Danio rerio: one gene and its partners. The protein of the gene in region 1 interacts with the protein of each later gene in a biochemical or structural test. Links are inferred from orthologs where the notes say so. Each region holds a gene or a part of one and is shown in the gene's direction. Other genes may lie near its edges. The genes, in order: caska, cntnap2a, caskin1 and fchsd2.

Region 1 (3,538 bases):
CGCCCTTATTTGTTATGCCCTCGTTGGTGCGATGAATTGCGAACAAAATGGCGACGGTTGGCCACGCCTACTGGTAGCTCTCTTTGGGTTCTTCATAAACCTGTGGGTGACGTCACGGATACTACGTCCATATCTTTCACTGTCTATGTTCCCACTATATTTGTTAAACGTGATATCTAATTAATCTTGTCTTTATCTAAAGACTCTTCTGTCTTTTAAATCTATTACTTGTGCTTAGCCAAAACACTTTACCTGAGAACAAGTTAATATATCAATTTATGTAACCACGTACTCTGCTTTGGCCTATTTGACTGATTGCTTGCCTATATTTACAACATTTTATAAACTTATTAGATGTTATACTTTTATATTAGCCATTATTGATTATTAAAACTGATATTCAGCAAAGGAGACAGGGTGGGTTTCATATTTTTCAATGAAAATTAACGGATGCAGTTATGTTATAGGCTCTGTTTTGTTATAATTATGCATACAGTGAAGATGACGGTCATATAAATATGTAGCTATAATCAAAATGAAAATAGGCAGCTCCTTATATCATGTTTTTATTTTATTCTTAAACAACGTAACCAGGGTGATGTGAATGAAGTTATAAAGTATATCGTTCCATTTGAAGATTTACCTGATGTGTCCTTGGGAGTTTGTTTTCCATATCAAACTTGTGAAGTCTAAACATAAAAGGAAAGGATGCAAGACTGAACTTTGTGTACATAATATTGAGAAAAAGGCCCAATCAGATAGGCGAATGTCTGCAACAACGACTCCGTTTTCAGATGTCTCCATTTTCCCCCATCCACACTGACACAAAGCAGCAGCGTTTTAAAATCAGAATAGCCTTTTCAGCGTTTCCAAAATGCTAGATTTTCAGGGCTTGAAAACTCCAGGCTAGTGTGGACAGAAGGCGTAACCGTAGCAAAACTTATGCTTTCTAAAATTATGCAAAACCTAAGTCTATTTGACTCTGGTGGTAAGCAACGAGAAATATATTGTGCAACAAAAATAAGTAACTATATTAAAAAAAACATTCACTTCCATATCATAGAACAGGGGAGAGTGTCACAAGCTTTACTTTTTCTTCCAAAAATGTCCTTCACATAAAAATCAGTGTGCAGGATTTCAAAGACATCCTAGTTATTAATACATTCAAACATATAACCCCTTTAAATGGCCACAGGGTCCGATTTTACCCGCTTTCTATCCCGAATGTCCTAAAAGGCCCATTTTTGGCTCTTATACTCACTCTTTTTCTTTTGCGCTGTAGGATGAGTCGCTACAGAGGCTGCAGAAGGAGTCTGAGATCCTCCAGAAGACATATGCACATTACTTTGACCAAACCATCATCAATAATGAAATTGACGAGACCATCCGCCTCCTGGAGGAAGCCATAGACATGGTTTGCAGCACCGCCCAGTGGGTTCCGGTGTCCTGGGTCTACTAAAACAGCAAGCCCATCAACCTGTAACCTTACGCCCTTCATAACCTCACACTAAACAGTGCGTCTCTGCAAGAAAACAAAACAAAACTTGAAAAGTTTCCCATGATGCAAACAGAAGCCCACCTCTGACATTCAGCAACATCGATGTACCTGCAGTGAGCCCAGTCTTGGCCCCTCACAGACTACCTAGACGTAGTGTTGTATTAATGAAAAAAAAGATCAATAAAATAAATTACTAAATATTGTCATGTCTATATAGCTAGGAGGCAACATTTTGTTGACGTTGGATTTAAAGAGACAGTATCCTACTTGACTTCCTTTCCTGTGGTTCTGCTCGTTTTTCTGGTCATAATATTTCTCCGACAGAATCCTCGTAGCTTTCATCTGTCCAGCCCGTCCATTAACTCAGCCATAATACATAATCCCACATTATCCATGCGGCAGACCCCAGCTGCTTTAGCTTTAGCACAACCCACCGATTCAGCTTTCATTTTAAACACACTTTTTTTCTTTCTACTTTTCCCAATCCGCCCTCCTCTACACGTGGATACTGTCTCTCTAAAGACGTGCATAAATGTTTTCGAGATTTGAATGAGATCTCATGCATGTGAACATTCACGAGCGTTCAGTGTTAGCTGTGTCCAGACTGTCACCCACAGCAGAAAACATTCCATTCGGCGGGACGAACACATTCAAACAGGTGGAGCCGGTGACCAGGAGGGAAAAAAAAGACCTATGCACATCCCTTGCATTTTGGCAACTTTGTAAACAGTTTATTTTTACCAATTATGTAGTAAAATGTGTTTGTAAATGGTCTAAATTTTTATTTGTTGTAAGATTTATGGGCTTTGGGTTGAAAATGAATACTGGCATTTCAGAAGTGTGTTGTTTGAGAGTATTACTGTTAAAAACGAAATCAGATTTTTATTCTGTGCAGCAGAATGAGGCCGCGGTCTGTTCATCTCAATGGTTCTGTATATGATAAAACTGTTTCCTCAAACTGCCCTGTGAAAACGGCTCTATTGATGACAGAGCAGCTCTTCGGTATGAGTGTGTCTTTTTCCCTTTTCTTTTCTTTTTTAAATATATATTTCCTTTTATGTGGTGAAGATGTGGTGTCCTCTGCTGTTTTCTCATCCAGCTCTTTTGCTCAGCCTAGCTCTCGGTGTGAGTTGGCAGAGATGGGGCCAATGGAAATTTTTCGTTCCTCTTTGGCCTTTTTGTTTTTCCGGATTTTTTCCCAGCAGCTGTGGCGGGTCACGCCCTGCCAGCTTGATTCTGTGTGACTGCAGTCGAGATCAATGCCCAGTTATGTGTCTGAGAGCGACGCAGAGTGTTTTTTCTTTTTTTCTTGACCATTGATTCTGGACGTCTGAAGTATTTTTAAATACAGTGCTCAGCTTAATTGAGTACAGCCCATTTGGAAAATATATATTTGTATCCATTTCTCACTGAATATAGGCAATGTGTTTTGGTGCGTTTAAACAAAACAGATTGATTAAACGGATCTATTTAATCAAATAGTATTTTAGTCACCAAACATATTTAAATATTAAAAGAAAATACAATTAAATTCAAGCTTAATATTGTAAAATAATTAAAACCAACTAAATTTCAACTAAATTTTTTACTTTCTCTTTTTTGCTTCTCTTTTTTAAATTCTTATTTAATATTTTCCATAACATATAAATTTGTGTGTACTCGTTTTTGGACCATTATCGTATGTTATTTTGTTAGATAAGCTTCAGATTTGGCTTCAGTGCTGACTAATCTCTCTCTCTCTCTCTCTCTATATATATATATATATATATATATACACAAATACAAATATACAAATATTATATATATATATATATATATATATATATATATATATATATATATATATATATACACAAATACAAATATACAAATATTATATATATATATATATATATATATATATATATATATATATATACACACACACACACACACACACAAATATACAAATATAATATATATATATATATATATATATATATATATATATATATATATATATATATATATATATATATAATAGGTATTTTAATTTCTTGC
Region 2 (3,571 bases), on another chromosome or scaffold:
AGCCAAAAAGAAAATGAATGAATGAATGAATGAATGAATGAATGAATGCTTTCAAGGACTTCTCTATTCTCTAACATCTGAGTAAGGTTTTTTAAACACACTAAAAACACACTAACACCTCCCTAGACTTTTTTTTCTGCAATATTGCAATCTTGGTTTACGTCATCCCACTGATCCAAAAATAAATAAGTTCAACTTAATGGAACATGTAGGAACGCCAGGACATAAAATGTTATCGTTTGAGGACAGGAACTGCAGTCATCTCAGAGCAGAGGAAATCCCTGAGCGGACACGGTAGAGCAAAAAATCATGCTGAAAAGAATGTGTCTGTCAATTTTAGAAATGTCTACAGCTTTTAGAAAGGGTAAGTCTTGTTTTGAGGTGGGAAGGAAAGATTAAGGTTGCAGGATAATTTAGACTGAAATATAAAAACAAGATGAACATTTATCTTAAGAAAGAAAATTTGTCCGTTTGTTTGAAGTTCAAATTAATAAAACTTAAAAAAGCTTGAGGAATATTTGGAATAAAAATCCATTTGACACTTCATGATCAGTACATTTTTTCTAAGGTGTAACTTTAATAAGAAAATTTTTCCTTGATTACATATGTCAGCTAAAAAGAATTAACTTTTGTTTAAAAAAATATAATTAAAACATTTGGAAACATATTCACTCAAGTGTGCTCTTTGCACTTTTAGTTAGGTGAAAGTGTTTGCCTTTGAAATTTAAGTTAATTAAATATTAAGCATTTAAATATATATTTTTTTTAAATAATTGCTTGCTCTGAACAATTCTTGATTACATTTTGGATCATTTGGTGTCAGTACGATTTAAAAAATACTTATATGTATTTCAGCATGAATGTTTTAAATTATGACAATAATTACATTATATATTTCAAGTAAAAACAGCTTTTTATCTTTCATCAGAGAATCCTGAGGGACAAAAAACAAGGTTTCCATGAAGATATTTAACAACACACCTTTCTTAAAATTTATAATAGCAGAATAAAGATTTTGAGCATCAAATTAGCATAGTGAAGATTTCTGGAGGAAAAATCAGCTTTGCCATCACAGAAATATAATATATAAGGTATTTTAAATTGTATTAATCATTCAAACAATTCTAGATTCAGGTTTCAGATTCTTTCTTCCAGACTTTTTTAATGGTGTTTAGTAAGCACTTTATTGTCTTTATGGACATTTATGATTCATGTAAACTATTGTAGAAATACTTCTTGACAGTGATACAAAAAGGTTTGAGTCATTAATATACTCATCTTTTAAGATCTGTGTTGCATAAAATAATAATTTTTCGTCTTTCTAAATATGAGCAAATGCTAACGTTATATTGTGGTGTCTTTTATTAGTCAGTATCCAATTTAATTATCATTATTTTTTCTGTGTTTCAGAGGACAAGGTTTGGACGACAGTGGTGAATAACCTACCGGCACAGACAGCAGTAACTGGCTCCAGCCGGGAGAGACGGACAGTTTTACAGCTGAACTACAGTGCGTCTATGGAGCAGGTCACAGCAATAACCAACAGCGCTGAGCACTGCGAGCAGCACGTCTCCTACGCCTGCCGAATGTCACGTCTACTCAACACTCCAGGTACTGAGAGACTGTGTGAGAGCGTTTGAATGTTTGCTTCCTTGTAGATTCTTCTTCCCAGGTTTATTTGTAAACGTGCCTCTACCAAAACTTTGGCAAAACTCCTAAATCTTTTTTGCTACAGGACAGTTTGCTGCAGTTTTCAGCTGAAATGAAAACCAGAGGTCTTAAAAAAAGGAACAATCTTTTATATTATCTACAACATAAAATTACAGGACAGATTGTTATAATTATCAATCAATGAACGCTTGTTTCTGCTGAGTTTCATACACAATACAACTGAATGATCTTAAGCCACTTTTACCATTGAAAATTATTTGTAAACTAAAATGTGTGAAGTTAGGTAACATCAGATAGTCCTTTACGCAATGTAATTTCAGGACTTGAAAATGAAGTGACATGAGATATATCCATCTATCTATACACTACCTGATAAAAGTCTTGTCGCACAAGTTTTGTGAACAACAAAAACAACTGCATTCATTCATCTCTGCGATGACTCAAATGACTTGTTAATAAAGTCATCTGGAATGGCAAAGAAAAGCATTCTTGCAGGCCTCCCAGAGTTTATCAAGACTCTTTGGATTCATTTTCAATGTCTCCTTCATCTTATCCCAGAATGCTTAATAATGTTCATGTCTGGTGAATGGGCTGACCAATGCTGGAGCACCTTGACTTTCTTTGCTTTCTGGAACTTGTATGTGGAGGCTGAAGTACGAGTAGAAGTGCTATCCTGCTGAAGATTTTGCCCTCTTCTGTGGTTCTTAATGTAATGGGCAGCACAAATGTCTTGACACCTCAGGCTGTTGATGTTGCCATCCACTCTGCAGATCTCTCGCAGGCCCCCATTCTGAATGTAACCCCAAACCATGCATTTTTCCTTTACCAAACTTGACTGATTTTTCTCAGATTCTTGGGTTCTTGTGGCTTCCAATAGGTCTTCTGCAGTATTTGTGATGATTGGGATGCAGTTCAACATATAGTTCATCTGAAAAATCTACCTTCTCCTCCTTTTTTAAATGATCAACTAGAAGTCAAGTTATTATTTGTTTCTCTTAACTGGGATCGATGACAAGATTTTTGTCAGGTAGTGTATAGATAACGTTGTATCTTTGTATTGAAATTTGTATTTTTCCAATATTTCTCAGGTGCTGTTTAACAGAGACACTGTGAGGTGTTTTTCTAGTTTGCAAAGTTTTAGTCTAAGTCTAAGTTTAAAGCACTATTTAAAGGCCTAAATGAATAGTTCACCCAAAAACTGAATATTCTGTCACCATTTACACATCCTCTACTCATTCAAAGTCTGTTTGATTTTCTCTGTTCTCAAAGATTCAAAAGATTGTGTTCAACAGAAATGAGAAACTCAAAAAATATACTGGAAAAGTGCTAGAAACCTGTAAGCATTGGCTTCCAAAGTATTTTTTTTTTTCTACTTTGGAAATCAATGTTTACAGGTTTTTAACATTTTTCATACGTTTTTGTGTTCCACAAAAAGAAAAAAAAAGTCAAACAGGTTTAAATCCACTTGAGGATGAACAGTAATTAACAAGAACTAAACAATAATTATATTTTTGAGTGAACTATCCCTTACTTAGGTTTTTATTATGTTAACTAGACGATAGGCTGTATGCACAGCTAGTGTTTTTCAGCCAATGCTAAACTTACGATGAAAGCTTAATGTGACTATTTTCATAAGGTTCCTTTTACAGCATCGATGTTGTATTGTAATTACAATACATTCAGTTAAATAGACTTAAGCATTCGTTTAGTGGTTTAAGTTTAAAATGAGATGAAACACCGTTTAAACTTCAGTGCCATCAGGATCAGAAGGTGAGAACAGAAACTTCATTAAAAATACTAGGATATAATAAACTGTCATATCTTAAAGACATGGCACTGGAAAATGGAATTTAATGCAGTGCTTTGTCTCCAGTCTTCCCTTTATATTTTATATCTATCA
Region 3 (3,571 bases), on another chromosome or scaffold:
TTTCACCTTCATCTGAGTCTGTCACAGACTTCTGTTTATCTGACGTAAGGCATGATGTGAAGCAGACACACGTATGAAAACAGTGGGCGGGGAGAAGCAGCTTGTTTGGATTTTGGTGGAATGAACCGCCAACTTATCCAGCATATGTTTTACGCAGTGGATGCCCTTCCAGCTGCAACCCATCACTGGGAAAGCTACAAAAAACAGCTCCAATGTATTCAGACACCAAAATGGGTGGATTTTGGAGACTATGATAAATAATCTGATAGGTATTTTGAACTGAAACTTGAGCTGAGACACCAAAGGCTGCCATCTTACATCTTGTAAAAGGGGTAAAATAGGTGCCCTTTAAACTATGAATAAGTCAGTTCTACACAATGTTTAAGTCATGTTTTTTCTTAAAATGGCAAAACAAACCTGCACTTGGGCCTGATAATCAATCAAGAATCTCTAAAAAGAGAGTTCAGCCAAAATGGAAAATGTTGTCATTGTTTAGTCACCCTTAAATGGCTTCAAACCTATATGACTTTTTCACTGTGGAACATACAAGAAGATTTTGATGATCCAAAAAATGGATAAAGATGCTTTTTTGACCCTTCAACGCCAGCAATTCTATTTTATTTATTTGTGAAAAATTTACACTGAACCTTTACTTGGTTTTTTTTTTTGTCCTCATTTAGTTAGTGACTTTAAATTAAAGCACTTGCTAAGCAAATTAATATAATAGCTAAATAAAGTCAAAGAAAGTCAGGGGTCAACAGCTTTAAATTGTATGGACCAGTGTAAACAGTAAAAAAATAACTTGGGGGTGAATAAATGATGAAAAATGAAAAGAATTTTGAGTGAACTGTCTCTTTAACGATATAATCTGTAAAACAGTAGGTCTCTTTTCAGTGATTGGAGACCACTGCCATAAAAATGGCGTTGTGTTTATTTGTATATAAACAAATTAACGTACACTTGTGTGTACACTTGTGATGTTTTGGAGACCCCAATGAACTATGCTCCTGTAATGCACTGCAACTCCTTTTGTTGTTATATATATATATATATTTACATATATAATCATATATTCCTGTATATATTATATATGTTTTACCTATGTGTATGTGTAAATCAAGGCATATATATATGTATATAAAGTACATGTTTCTGCTTAAATATTTCATGTACCTCTGTATATATCAATGTTCATATATATTTGTGTTAGATATACAGTATATATATGCGTGCTTGCCTTGTGTGGGTGTTTGAAAGAGAAAGTGGTTAGAGCGCATAGACATAGTTTAGCTTTCCTCTTGCTTGACCTCTCCAGAACACCTATGATCCCGGGCAGGCGGCGAAGCCAGGGCACAGTTAATGATGGTTTCTGTGTTAAAGGTTCTCGTGGCTCAGAGTCCAGTCCACATGGCTCACCCACCCCAGCTGGTGGACCCCAGGGTGGAAGTAGCGAGGAGATCTGGGTGCTGCGCAAGCCTGTGGCAGGTAACAGCAGGGCTGCCCCTTCCTCCACTTCCCTCTCATAACTCTCCCTGCTTTGCCACGCTCTTGGTGCAGCTGCTGTCGCCTGACCTCAGACCTCCTCAGCTGCAGGCGTGTAGGCGCGCATTGAGAGACTCTCATCCGCTCTGTTAAAGTAACATCCATGGAGTCGTTCCTTCAAGAACACACATCCAGACAATCAACAGATGTGTGTAGACGGCATTTTCAATAAAGCCAGTGTAGACCTGTGTGTGTTTGTAGTAGTGAGTAAGCTAACATGTCTCGTGTTCATTGGTCACCTTGTCTGTGGTCATCATTGTCATGTACGTTTCTGTCATCCCGCGTATCAGATCAGTGCATTGCAGAGGGGAAGTTCATAGTGGTGTGTTTAAAGGGTTCGGGGCAGAGATGTCCAAAGGGGCTGACTGTGTGTGTGTTTGTTGGGGGTTTGTTGTTCCAGGTGGAGACCGCAGTAGTGTGGGCAGTTCAGGCAGTGTGGCCAGTGCCCGATCCTCTGGCAGTGGACAGAGCGCAGGCAGCACCAGTATCCTCCATGCTCAAGCAGAGGGAGTCAAGGTGAGCAATCTGATATGAAATATTTTTGTAGTATTCAAGTATCTAATACAAGTTTAGTTGTATTTGCCAGTCATCTCCAAGCCCCAGCCAGCCCGAGATGGCTCCAGCACATTTTATTCTAGTTCATATAAAATAGTTTGTCAAATCATTCATTTATTCGTTTTTAACTAAGTTTTAACTTTTCCGAGGCTGGGTCATGGGGGCAGCAGTCTTAGCAGAAAACCCCAGACTTCCTTCTCCCCAGTCACTTCCTCCAGCTTTTCTGGGTCTTCCACAAGGCCTCCTTCTTGTGGAACATGCCTGGAACACCTCCCTAGATAGGTGTCCAGGAGGCATCCAAAACAGATGCCCAAGCCACCTCAGCTGACTTCTCTCGATGTGGAGGAGCAGCAACTCTACTCTACTCTAAGCTCCTCCTGGGTGACAGAGCTCCTCACTCTATCCATAAGGGTACGCCCTGCCACCCTGTAAAGGAAACTCATTTCGGCCGCTTGTATCCGAGATCTTGTCCTTTCGGTCATGACCCAAAGCTCATGACCATAGGTGAGAGTAGGAACGTAGATTGACCGTTAAATCGAGAGCTTTGCCATTCGGCTCAGCTCCTTCTTTACCACAACGGACCGGTACATCAACCGCATTACTGCTGCTAATGCACCATCTCATGTTCCATCCTACCCTTACTCGTAAACAAAACCCCAAGATACTTGAAATCCTCCACCTGGGATAAGGACTTTCCTCCAACCTGGAGATGACAAACCACCTTTTTCCAGTGGAGCACCATGGCCTCGGACTTGGAGGTGCTGATACTCATCCCAGCCACGTCACACTCGGCAGCAAACCGCCTCAGTGCGCGATGTCAATGTCAGTGTCAATTTTATTTATATAGCACTAATAAACACAACCAGAGGTTGACCAATGTGCTTCACAATACACATTACAACAAAAAAATATATAAAAACAGACAATTTTCATTGATAAAATGCCAAATCAAAGAGGTAAGTTTTTAACCTAGATTTAAAAACAGACAGAGGTGATATACAACTAACACAGAGGGACAAAGCATTCCAGAATCTAGGACCAGCTACTGCGAAAGCACTGTCACCCCTGCTTTTCAGCCTTAACTTGGGTATACACAATAATCTCTGGTTTGAGACTAGGCTGATGCTCAATCAACATGTCTGACAGATAGGAAAGTGCCAGGCCATTTAGAGATTTAAAAACCAAGAAAAGAATTTTAAAAATGACTTGATAGTGAACAGTGCAAAGGTAAAAAGCCTTGCAGCAGCATTTTGAACTAACTGTAAATGGAATAAGGTTGTGACTAATCCCAATGCATAGTGAGTTACAATAGTCCAATCTAGTGGTTATAAAAGCATGGATTTTTTTAAACATTTTTTCTAGATAGAACCGTTTTAACTGTTCGATTTAAGAGTCAAAGCTGAAAAAAGCAGGATATAACCACTGCATTTATCTGTTTGTCAAAGCTCATAATCCAGAATAACACCTAGATTTT
Region 4 (4,291 bases), on another chromosome or scaffold:
AACTGAGCTTGGTTTCTCTCAAGGTGTTTTTTCCTTCGATTTTTGTCAATCAGTAAAGTTTGTTCCTCACCACTGTCGCAACTGGCTTGCTTGGTTTGGGACTTGTGGAGCTTCAAATTGATGGATTTGCTTTTCAGTGTTAGGGCTCACAGCAGTAAAAATTAAAGCACACTGAGGTGAACTTTAACACTGAAAACTGGACTGACACTGCTTCAATTTACTAGAACTTCTATGTGAAGCTGCTTTGACACAATCTACATTGTAAAAGCGCTATAGAAATAAAGATGAATTGAATTTGAAAAATTAAACCCATTACTGTGCTTTTCTAAGTCATTTGAAACATTAAAACAGACATTTCACCATTATTTAATATACCTTCTGTGTATATTATTGACTTATATGTATATTAAATCCGTTTAAATGACTTATTTCTGCTGTGGTGACCCCTGATTAATGAAGGGACTAAGCCGAAAAGAAAACGAATGAATGAATTTCTTGACTATTAGTTTTTTTTTTCATTCAAATACTTGGTTATTCCAATCCAAATATGGGTGAAATATGAACAAACCCAAAAACTGGCTTAAATTTGGTCTATTAATTTAGCTTAAAAATTAACCCAGAATTGTTTTTGTCAATATTTAAGTCCTAGGTTGAAACAACACAGCCTTTTTAAAAGAGTCTAATAATTTAAGATTCATTCATTCATTTTCTTTTTTGGCTTAGTCCCTTTATTCATTAAGGGTCACTACAGCGGAATGAACCACCAACTTATCCAGCATATGTTTTACAAAGCAGATGCCCTTGCAGCTGCAACCCAGTACTGGGAAGCATCCATACACACTCATTCACACACACTCATACACTACATCCAATTTAGTTTATCAATTCCCCTATAGCGCATGTGTTTGTACTGTGGGGCAAGCAGAGGAAACCCACGCCAACACGGGGAGAACATGCAAACTCCACACAGAAATAACCCAGCTGGGACTCAAACCAGCGACCTTCTTGCTGTGAGGTGACCACCGAGCCACCATGTCACTGTAATTTAATATTTTTAGTATATATTTTAGAGTCTCTAATTAAATTTGCAACTCTTGTCAGAATAAATCCTAATTTAATTTGTTTTCATTATTTGGATGAATAACTTTACTACGGCCAAGGCGTAGATCATGAATATTAATAGCTCTTCCATCAACGTTGGCGCATTCTCGAACTGTCCAATCATCTTATCTTCTTAATATTCAAATAACCATCTGACCGTTACAAGCGCACGCGCTTTAGCCAATCAGGAAAGCACAGTGAGCGAACGTCCCGTTACGTAATTAATATTAATGAGCTAAACCCTCGTCGTAGTAGATATCGTGCAGCGGGGTTACGCTTGTCCGTTCCGCGGCGCTGTTGGACTGGATTTCACGCTTCGAGGCTGTTCTTTGGAGGCATATTCTCTCTTTTATTACTTTCTCCCCTGATCCGCAGTGTTTGTTGAGCGTCTGCCTGACTGGACCTGCTTCATCATGGCCGTCTGAATCCAGAGCCGAACGCCAGTGTGATCCCCGTTTTCTCAGTCATCCACCCCGATCGCGCTGGGAATCATTTCTTTGGGATTTTACTTCATTTGTGCCAATGTTCAAACATGCAGCCTCCGCCAAGAAAGGTAAGAAAATCGTCGTTTTGTAACAATGTGTGTATTTCTTATAAGAATGTACATTGTTATGTCGTTGCAACTTTGTGTCAAAGCCGCGGTTTGTTTTGAAACAATGTGCGGGTTTGTATTTTGCAGCGGAAACAATGCATCAGGACTTTTCTCGAGCAGTTGTGTTTTATTGTTGTTTTCAAAGCTCCGTTTGCGATGCTGAAATCCGCCTGGTTTACACTAGAGTGTGTTTTTAGCCTGATTTGCTCTCAGATAACGGTTAAACCATGCAGCTACGAGAGTCGTCTTGTGTGTTGTGTGTGTGTGTGTGTGTGTTTTCCTCTCAGATTAAACCCAGTCACCATGCTTTTGTCAAATTAACGGATCGATGCTCGTCATTATAACCTTAAAGTCTGACATTGTGTTGCAGATCTCGATTTAATGTGTGCATATGTCAAGTACGTTGATGATAAAATCATATATCCTAGGGAAAGATGTGTTCCTGTCTTTCTCTCAGAGGTGACAGCAGGGGTGTTGGGTTTCAAACTCATGTCCCACAGGCGGCTGTATGGAGGAATGTGAAATTACCACACACACAAAAACACACACACTCATCATATTCTAATCATTCCGCGCACATTTTGGTATTTTAATCCTCAAAGCATTGCATCAGAGTGTGAAATCCTTAAAGGTGACGTCTTACTTTTTTGCAATTGCTTTGTCTAGTGAAGAGCAGGAAGGCTGATAGCATGTAGCACAGGTTTCCCCCTAAATAAACCCTGCTATTTCCCTGCTATATTTGATAATATTACGTAGAGATGCATGCAATACTCGTTTTGACACACTGCTGATGCTTTTATTTCATTGATAAACATACAATATGCTATAGTGTATAGATCAGAGGTTAAATACTAGAGGATGTACAAAGATGTCATGTAGTGTCTCTTTTGCATCATATATCTGATCCCTATTTTAACACAACAGTGTCTGTCTCCAAGCCTTCCCACTATAAATGTCTGGAATTTGTGCTGTTGTGTTTTGCTCTGACGCAAATGCTGCTGCTGTGAGTGTTTCCTCCATCTCGGAGTAATAATAATAATAATGTCTCACCTGTACTCTATTAAAATAGTTGGGTTTAGAATACCCCATATATATATATATATATATATATATATATATATATATATATATATATATATATATATATAGTTATTATATGTTATTATAGCTCCTTCCCTTCCCAATTATGGGTTAATTGTTATTTTTTCCATTCTGGTATTACTATAGGAGTACTACTATTAATTAATTTTATAATTATGGCTGTGTAAATAAATAAATGTCTCCGCTGGGTTCTAAAAGGTAAGGATGACTGCCAAATATCCCAAATATGTGTATCTTTCCACCCAAAAAAATAGTTAGTTATTTATTTAACCCAATAGTTGAGTTAAACACATTTGGTGTTTGTTGGGTTATTTTTTAACCTTTTTTAGATTATTTATTAATAACTCATCTAGTTGAGTTCAATATTTGGTGCTTTGTTGGGTTATTTTTAAACCTTTACTTTGTTATTTATTTAATAACACAGTACAGATGAACACAGGAGGTAGACTCTTTTAATCCATATAATAAATTGACTAGGCGACGCAGGGGCACAGTAGGTAGTGCTGTCGCCTCACAGCAAGAAGGTTGCTGTTTCGAGCCTCGACGTTTCTGTGTGGAGTTTACATGGTCTCCCTGCGTTTGCGTGGGTTTCCTGCGGGTACTCCGGTTTACCCCCACAGTCCAAAGACTTGTGGTACAGGTGAATTGGGGTGGCTAAATAGTGTATGTATGTGTGTGAATGAGTGTGTGTGGATGTTTCCCAGAGATGGGTTGCGGCTGGAAGGGCTGGATAAGAGCTGGATAAGTTGGCGGTCCATTCCGCTGTGGCGACCCCAGATTAATAAAGGGACTGAGGCGGGGAAAAAAATGAACGAATGAATAAATTGACTATGAAACGTGCGTTTGTATATTAATACAGCTGTTCTGTGTCAGTTAAATCAGTTGACTGTTGAAATTAAAATTTTTAAATTAATTTGAATTTTTTGAGTTATTAAATAAATAACCAAATGCAGCTTAAAAATAACCCAACAAATCACCAAATATTTAACCCAACTGGGGTGCGTTTCCCAAAACCATTGTTAGCCAACTAAGGTCACGAATTACATCGTTTCAAACATAGCTTGTTGATTTGGCATTTCCCAAATCCGTGTTCCAACGAACATTCGTAAACTGCGTCACAAACTTGTATGCTTGCAACTACACCTCTGGAGCTGTAGTTAGAGACAGTTCCTGGCTGTGTGCTATTTCTTCTTATCCCCCCTATGACCTATTCATTTAGAACATTCTGACATTTTTCAGTTTTAGCGATCTTCATGTTTACATTTGCGCTCCCTTCGCAGTGCACATTGAGAACATTGATGTCATTTTGAACACAGCCTCATGACGAAAGCTGTAGGTGACCCATTACTTAAAAGTGGAATTTATGTTACGTTTCCAAAGCTTGTGAAAACAAAAAACAAAGCAAACGTTAATGCTTTAACCTTATAGTAGATTATTTATTAAGTATCTGTACTGTATATGACATTATTAGTATTATGATTATTAATAAATAACCTA

What was found.
Region 2: the proteins of caska (region 1) and cntnap2a form a complex in vitro, tested with the Homo sapiens proteins (2 studies listed by BioGRID and IntAct, with this or other methods). The link is inferred for Danio rerio from reciprocal best matches to the Homo sapiens genes CASK and CNTNAP2.
Region 3: the proteins of caska (region 1) and caskin1 interact in a biophysical measurement, tested with the Homo sapiens proteins (2 studies listed by IntAct, with this or other methods). The link is inferred for Danio rerio from reciprocal best matches to the Homo sapiens genes CASK and CASKIN1.
Region 4: the proteins of caska (region 1) and fchsd2 form a complex in vitro, tested with the Homo sapiens proteins (2 studies listed by BioGRID and IntAct, with this or other methods). The link is inferred for Danio rerio from reciprocal best matches to the Homo sapiens genes CASK and FCHSD2.

What each region holds. Positions count from the first base shown.
Region 1 is NC_133184.1:35,054,914-35,058,451, reverse strand, and holds the end of caska (peripheral plasma membrane protein CASK), read left to right. Parts: intron 1-1,282; coding exon 1,283-1,459; 3' UTR 1,460-3,034; downstream 3,035-3,538. UniProt on the Homo sapiens protein: Multidomain scaffolding Mg(2+)-independent protein kinase that catalyzes the phosphotransfer from ATP to proteins such as NRXN1, and plays a role in synaptic transmembrane protein anchoring and ion channel trafficking.
Region 2 is NC_133199.1:21,601,001-21,604,571, reverse strand, and holds part of cntnap2a (contactin-associated protein-like 2a precursor), read left to right. Parts: intron 1-1,410; coding exon 1,411-1,611; intron 1,612-3,571. UniProt on the Homo sapiens protein: Required for gap junction formation. Required, with CNTNAP1, for radial and longitudinal organization of myelinated axons.
Region 3 is NC_133178.1:34,509,776-34,513,346, reverse strand, and holds part of caskin1 (caskin-1), read left to right. Parts: intron 1-1,380; coding exon 1,381-1,485; intron 1,486-1,942; coding exon 1,943-2,058; intron 2,059-3,571.
Region 4 is NC_133193.1:4,556,494-4,560,784, reverse strand, and holds the start of fchsd2 (F-BAR and double SH3 domains protein 2), read left to right. Parts: upstream 1-1,474; 5' UTR 1,475-1,633; coding exon 1,634-1,654; intron 1,655-4,291. UniProt on the Homo sapiens protein: Adapter protein that plays a role in endocytosis via clathrin-coated pits. Contributes to the internalization of cell surface receptors, such as integrin ITGB1 and transferrin receptor.